Rattus norvegicus: one gene and its partner. The protein of the gene in region 1 purifies or fractionates together with the protein of each later gene. This does not show direct contact. Links are inferred from orthologs where the notes say so. Each region holds a gene or a part of one and is shown on either strand. Other genes may lie near its edges.

The links.
Region 2: the proteins of Tulp4 (region 1) and Cul5 purify together in Homo sapiens (affinity purification with mass spectrometry; 4 studies listed by BioGRID and IntAct, counting the BioPlex papers as one, with this or other methods). This does not show direct contact. The link is inferred for Rattus norvegicus from reciprocal best matches to the Homo sapiens genes TULP4 and CUL5.

Annotation. Positions count from the first base shown.
Region 1 is NC_086019.1:49,209,688-49,213,506, forward strand, and holds part of Tulp4 (tubby-related protein 4), read left to right. Parts: coding exon 1-2,000; intron 2,001-3,819. UniProt on the Homo sapiens protein: May be a substrate-recognition component of a SCF-like ECS (Elongin-Cullin-SOCS-box protein) E3 ubiquitin ligase complex which mediates the ubiquitination and subsequent proteasomal degradation of target proteins.
Region 2 is NC_086026.1:62,942,044-62,945,862, reverse strand, and holds part of Cul5 (cullin-5), read left to right. Parts: intron 1-1,056; coding exon 1,057-1,233; intron 1,234-3,002; coding exon 3,003-3,144; intron 3,145-3,819. UniProt on the Homo sapiens protein: Core component of multiple cullin-5-RING E3 ubiquitin-protein ligase complexes (ECS complexes, also named CRL5 complexes), which mediate the ubiquitination and subsequent proteasomal degradation of target proteins.

The DNA of each region.
Region 1 (3,819 bases):
GAACTATCCCTGCTGCCCCCACCACAGCTGCACCCCCACCCCCTCTGCCACCACCACAGCCCCCAGTGGATGTGTGTTTGAAGAAGGGTGACTTCTCACTGTACCCTACAGCAGCACATTACCAGCCTCCACTAGGCTATGAGAGGATAACCACCTTTGACAGCAGTGGCAATGTGGAAGAGGTGTGCCGGCCTCGCACTCGGATGCTCTGTTCCCAGAACACCTACACTCTTCCTGGCCCAGGCAGTTCTGCCACCTTGAGACTCACAGCCACTGAGAAGAAGGTCCCCCAACCCTGTACCAGTGCCACTCTGAACCGACTAACTGTCCCTCGATATTCCATCCCCACAGGGGACCCACCTCCATACCCTGAAATCGCTAGCCAGCTGGCCCAGGGGCGGAATGCTACTCAAAGGCTGGATAACAGTCTCATCCATGCCACCCTACGAAGGAACAACCGAGAGGTTGCACTTAAGATGGCCCAGCTGGCTGACAGCTCCCGTGCCCCACTGCAGCCCCCAGCCAAGCCTAAGGGGGGCACTGGTGGGGCAGTGGCACAGCTCCCAGCAAGGCCTCCACCTGCCCTATACACCTGCAGCCAGTGCAGTGGAGCAGGGCCCAGCTCACAGTCAGGTGCAGCCCTGGCCCATGCTATCAGCACCTCCCCGCTGGCCTCCCAGTCCTCCTACAATCTTCTAAGCCCTCCTGACACCTCCCGTGATCGTACTGACTATGTCAACTCAGCCTTCACAGAGGACGAGGCCCTGTCTCAGCACTGTCAGCTTGAGAAACCTCTGCGGCATCCCCCACTTCCTGAAGCCACTGTCACCATGAAGCGGCCTCCCCCCTACCAGTGGGACCCCGTGCTGGGTGAGGACGTTTGGGTTCCCCAGGAAAGGACAGCACAGCCTACAGTGCCCAACCCCTTAAAACTGTCCCCTCTCATGATAGGGCAGGGCCAGCACCTGGATGTGGCTCGAGTGCCCTTTGTGTCTCCCAAGTCTCCATCCAGCCCTACTGCCACCTTCCAGACAGGCTATGGGATGGGAGTGCCATATCCAGGCAGCTATAATACCCCCTCTTTGCCTGGAGTCCAAGCTCCGTGTTCCCCTAAGGATGCCCTGTCCCCGGCACAGTTTGCACAACAGGAGTCTGCTGTCGTACTTCAGCCAGCATACCCACCCAGCCTTTCCTATTGCACCTTGCCCCCCACATACCCAGGAAGCAGCACATGCTCCAGTTTACAGCTGCCGCCCATCGCCTTGCACCCCTGGAATTCCTACAGCACCTGCCCGCCCATGCAGAATACCCAGGGCACTCTCCCCTCCAAGCCCCACTTAGTGGTGGAGAAGCCTCTCGTGTCCCCTCCACCTGCCGAGCTCCAAAGCCACATGGGCACAGAGGTGATGGTAGAGACTGCAGACAATTTCCAAGAAGTCCTCTCTCTGACAGAAAGCCCCGTGCCCCAGAGAACAGAGAAATTTGGAAAGAAGAACCGGAAGCGCCTTGATAGCCGAGCAGAGGAAGGGAGTGTTCAGGCCATCACTGAGGGCAAAGTAAGAAAGGATGCTAGGACTTTGAGCGACTTTAACTCGCTCATCGCCAGTCCCCGCCTGGGGAGAGAGAAGAAGAAAGTGAAAAGTCAGAAAGACCAACTGAAGTCAAAGAAGTTGAACAAGACAAACGAGTTCCAGGACAGCTCAGAGAGTGAGCCCGAGCTGTTCATCAGCGGGGATGAGCTGATGAACCAGAGCCAGGGCAGCAAGAAGGGGTGGAAAAGCAAGAGGAGCCTGCGGACGGCCAGCGAGCTGGAGGAATTCAAGGGCCGCAAAGCCAGTGAGAAGGAAGACGGGCGACTGGGCAGCCAGGGCTTCGTGTATGTGATGGCCAACAAGCAGCCTCTGTGGAATGAAGCCACCCAGGTGTACCAGCTAGACTTTGGAGGGAGGGTGACCCAGGAGTCTGCCAAGAACTTCCAGATCGAGTTGGAGGGACGGCAGGTAAGGAGACTGGCCTTCTCGTGTGCTTTAAATTCAAGTGATTCCTGAACCCTTAGGCAGATAGAGAGGGAAAGCACACCCCACGCATTCATCCCCTCACCACCTGTGTTTGAGTTGCAGGTGCCTCCTAGAGTTTGGGGCTTTCTAGTATCTGTCACTGTATTTGCAAAAACCCCTATTTTTATTTATTGATACTTCTAATTGAGCTGTCATATGTTGCCTTCCCCCTCTCTGACTCTAGTGGATTGTGCTGTCTGCTTCCTTCAGGAGCTGGCAGACTTAGTTACCTCAGTCCCTACCTTTCATTTCATGGCTTCGCTTCCTACCACCTTGACCCGAGACAATGCAGTCTGGACGGACTGACTGCACTGTATACAATACTCCTTCCCAGCTGTTCATTACGCGCTATGGAAGGACGCTATGTTGTCAACCCTGCTCCCTACCTCACTAGTAGACATGAGAGCGCCCCCACTTTCCCAGTTTAAGCAGTAGGTATTGGTGACTACCCATGTCACTGAAGGTCTTCGTTAGGGTGGTACTGCTGTGAAGAGACACCATAACTATTGCAACTCTTAGAAAAGGAAAACATTTCATGGGGCTGGCTTACAGTCTCAGAGGTTTAGTCCATTGTCATAGCAGAAAGCGTGACATCACACAGGCAGACATGGTGCTGGAGAAGGAGAGTTCTACATCTTGATCTGCAGGCAGAAAGAGACAGTGTGCCACACCAGGCTTAGCTTGAGCATCGGAGACCATGAAGCCCACCCTCACAGTGACACAGCCCCTCCAACAAGGCCACGTATCCCTCCCTACAGCCAAGCATCAAACCTGTCTACGGGGGAGGGGCTGGACCTTTCAGACCTCCACACTGAGAGTTTCATAGCTGTACCCGTTAGGAGTTTTTCCTAAATATTTTGTTTTAATTACCTAGTTATTGTTTGCTTATTTCTCGTTGTGTTTATTGCTAAGTCATCCTCAAGTTCTCTAGTAGAAGGCAAATCTCCTTGGTACAAATGAAGAACACAGATGACAAGACAGTGCTTGTCACAGCACGATGGCCTCTGTACCCCTGCCACCTCCATCCATTTTAAATTTCACTTTCACTCATCACATACTTGTGCTCCCTGCTGTGTGCCTGGCGGTTTCTAAGCCGAGAATTGGCAGACTGGCTTGCGCATCCGTGTCACCCTTCCTGTCTGTAAATAAAGCATTATTGATACGCAGTTCTGGCTAATAAATTCTACCGGTACTTCCCCCTCACAAGCAGAATTGAATGGTTCTGCAGAGTATCTGAGTTACAGGCTAAAATGTTTTCACAGCACTTTAGAAAGTCGCCAGCCCTTCCTCTAAGTGCAATCAAGACCTCTGAGTCGTGGAAGTAACTGTTAAGTGTATCTTTCAAAACAGGGAGGAAGCCACAAGGAAGTGGGCGTGCGTCCTATGCTGTGTGCTGCCATAATCTCATGTGTAGAGGCCACAGGAGGTGGGACAAGGAGGAGCACGTTGGGAAGGGGGGTGTGATGCTCTAGACAGTCACCAGGGACGCCTGCTCTGAGGCAGAGTTGGCACATCTCTGAGGTCTCTCAGTGTGGTATGGAGTCTTCTCTTTCTTCTCCCCAGAGAACACACTTTATCTTACCTGTGGCTCTCCATGTAAGCTCCTTGACCCCTTACACCATCGGCCATGATCTCTGTTTCCTGTAACCCTGTAGTCAGAGGTAGAGGCCCATTAGATTCAGTTACTTGAGTTTCTGGAACTCTGCTGGACTGTGCTCTCTGCTTCCTCGAAGTGGGCACACTACACTGGCTGCGGTCTCAC
Region 2 (3,819 bases), on another chromosome or scaffold:
TCAGCCAACCCAACACAACTAATTTATTTGTTCATTGTTGTCTGGTTTAGTAATGTGGGCTTGCCTCAATTAATTTCACTCAAGCTCATTAATGCATTGGTAGTTGGGTCTGCAAGGGTCAGGTGGTCCAAGTGAGCATAATTAAATATGTATTACTCAGGGCTGATTTCCTCTTGGAAAAATTATCTCATATTCCTAAGGAAAACATCCTAGAAAGGTGTTTGTGGGACCTACAAGATTTCATCAGGTCTAGGCTTGTAATGGCAACATTCTGTGTGGTTAAAGCTGGTCACAAAATCAGCCCAGTGTGAGCAGTGGGAAAATCGAGGACCACCTTTAAGTGAAGTCTAAGATAGCATGTTTAAGCTCTAGGTATAACTTCAGCACCAATTCCATCCCTGCAAAGAGAAATACTTTACCTGTCATAAGATTTACTTTTAACTGGCTGCAGTAGGGCATACCTTTTTAATCCCAGTACTCAGGAGGCAGAGGCAGGCTGGTGGCTGTGTTGGAAGCCAACTGCCTCATGTATGAGCTCCAGGCCAGCTCAGGGGTACCCTGGCTCAAAAAGGGAGTGAGGAAGACAAACAAAAACTTAGAAACAAAACACTTCCCTCAAGTATATGCTGGAGAGGGTTAGTAGCCTCAACCACTAACTGTAGAGTATTTTCACCACCCTCTGAAGAAACATTGTACTGTTAACAGGCAAACACTCCCTGTTACTTCTCAAACCCTGTTCACCATTACACGTGAATTTTCTACCTCTGAGTTTGTCTGCTCTTGGGTTTCATAAACTGATTGATCTTTTATGAGCAGTCTTTACTTGGGATAGTAAATGTTTTCATGCCTGGTTTACATTTCCTACTTTTGATTGTTTTAGACAATGTGGCTATGAACATTTATGTACAGAATATTTATTAGGACATGTGCTTGGTTTCTCTTAAATATAGTATTTGTACAACAAATCATGTTTTAAAATTGTCGCTTGACTGCATACTGTCCTTATTCATCAAAGCATTTAGGTTCATTCCAAGCTGATACAGTTTTGTTTTTCAGCGCGTACTGAGCCATCAAGATGACACAGCTTTGCTAAAGGCATATATTGTTGAATGGCGAAAATTCTTCACCCAGTGCGATATTTTACCAAAACCTTTTTGTCAACTAGAGGTGACTTTATTGGGTAAACAAAGCAGCAATAAAAAATCAAATATGGAAGACAGTATTGTTCGAAAGGTATGTGTCTTACCCCATTGTTTCCTGATGTCTCTTAATGCCCTAAATGTCTTTAGGAAGGTGTTCATTATGATTTATGTAGGTCTTGCTAATCACAGGCAGACCCTTTTTTTTAAAGATTTATTTATTCTATATACACTGTCGCTGCAGACACACCAGAAGAGGGCATCAGATCCCATTACAGATGGTTGTGAGCCACCATGTGGTTGCTGGGAATTGAACTCAGGACCTCAGGAAGAACAGTCAGTGCTCTTAACCGCTGAGCCATCCCTCCAGCCCGCATGCAGTCTCTTTATAGCTGTTAGGTTTGTTTTTTATGAAACTTTTTCTTGCACTCATACATTTTAGCTTCAGCATTCTTTATCTTTGTATGTTCTCTTAAACTATAAGTGTTTTCAAACATAACCTCAATTTTCCTTTTTGGCTTTTTCCAGTTTTATCTTCAGTATCTTTTGTGCTATTTCTTTATACTTTATCTTCTTGTGAATTAATTACTCATTTTTTCTTTGAATACTCATTTCTTCTAACTTTAATTGTGCTAAGCAGCTGTCATCTTTATAGTTAGTCTAGTCATGTTTGTCACAAGGTTTCTTTCAACTATAAATTATTTTTTTTAAATATCTATACCTATTTACCAATTACCTACCTACTAGTGAGAAATGAATGGAAGCGTGTGAGCGCATACATGCTGCATAAGCTCTACCACTGAGCTCAGCCTCTTCAAAAGGTGAAAAACAAAACCTGCCATTTGAATTACAAAAACCCTGCTGTGATGGTTAGGTTAGAAGATCAATACCAGAATTGTCTGGGTGTTACCATCCCATCCTACTCTTGAAATTTGCTTTATGCAAGATACTATAACATTAGATATACATGGTATTTCAGTGCTAGAATTTGCTACAAATTGAAACATTTCTTTTTAAAGGGAAAAAGCCTTTGAAGATGCAAGCCCATAATCTTACCCTCTTGGTTTTTTTGTTATTCCTTTTTTTTTTTTTTCTATTTTTTTTAAATTTACTGTGAGGCTTACTGGTTTATGTGAGCATTGTTTCTGGGATGATATTTGTTGGGTTCAGATGTGGACATGTTAGTGTTGCCTGCTAGGCCCCAACTCTCACCATAGAAAGAGAAGTGGTATTCCTACTTCAGGACTGTTGGTGTTGCATTAATTATCTGTGGAAACACACGGTGCAGTCCAGGGTATGTTGTGAGAGTCACAGAATTAACTGTTGTCACCGCTCTCCCTGTTACCAACAGAGCGACTTGGAGCATTGGTCTTGGTTGCCAGTGTGTATTCTTTATTTCTATAACTTTGATAATCATGTGGTGGAAGATGTATACATTTTTATTGCAACTAGCACAGACATGCATGTGAGCGTCTTAGAACCACTAGAAATTTGCCTCTTAGTATTTTGCATGTGGGAAAGGAAATAAATAGAGCTAGAAACCAAATTGTATTCTGAAGAAAAAGTTTTTTTTGTTTTTTGGGGTTTTTTGAGATAAAGTCTCTGTATATTCCTGCTATCCTGAAGCTCACTATGTAGACCAAGCTGGCCTCAAACTCCTGCCTCTGAGTGCTCAGATTAAAGGTGTGTCATCATGTTGGCCCTAGTTCTTTACTATTGGCTAATAAAATGTGACTTCCTAAAGGACCCAACACTGCTGATACAGTAGTAGGATTTCCTTTTCTCCATTTGTCCTGAACCTTGTGTGTATGGTACTTGAGATGTTAATCACTGCAAATGATGCTGTATTTTCTTACTTCCTAGCTCATGCTTGATACGTGGAATGAGTCGATTTTTTCGAATATAAAGAACAGACTCCAGGATAGTGCAATGAAGCTGGTGCATGCTGAGAGATTAGGGGAAGCTTTTGATTCCCAGCTGGTCATAGGAGTGCGAGAGTCCTATGGTATGTTCTCAACTCTTATAATCGCATTTCCATTCTGCAAATCTTAGGATATTATGATTTGGTCAGACTCCCACCTTCTTCCTGTGCCATACACTTTTTAGTTTCAACATTATACAAATGATATTGACTCTGTGTCAGAGAAAACTGCTAAATTCAAATGTATTTTTCATATTTTCTCTTTATTAACTTCTTGGTTAACTACTCTCTGGTATCCTAAACCAGAGAACTATACATTGCAACCTACAACTCCTAAAAGGAAACGTTGTTTTATATAGATGTTTTCAGAAGTTAGGTTTCTGTGCAGATTCTCTGCCTTCTCAGATTCTAATAATGCTTCATCCTGTTTACTCAAATACCTTGTCTCCTCTGACTTAGAGAGCGCTTCCTAACCTTCAAGCTCATCCGCGTGCCTCATTTCACCCTTCCTACTTCTCAAAGGTCTTACTGATGCTTCATTTCACTGAATTAGTATGCCTAACACAAAGTAAACTTCAGTAGATGTATTTGTTGGAGTAAGCGAACTTTTAGTTATTTTTTAATTGTTTTTATCCTATTTTGATTGTTTTAATTAAAGTCTTTAGACTTTCTTTACTATTATCATTGAAAGTGTTCTTTTTATTTCATTTGCTGTTGGTCTAGACCTCTTTAAATTCTACACCCAGACTTTTGAAATCA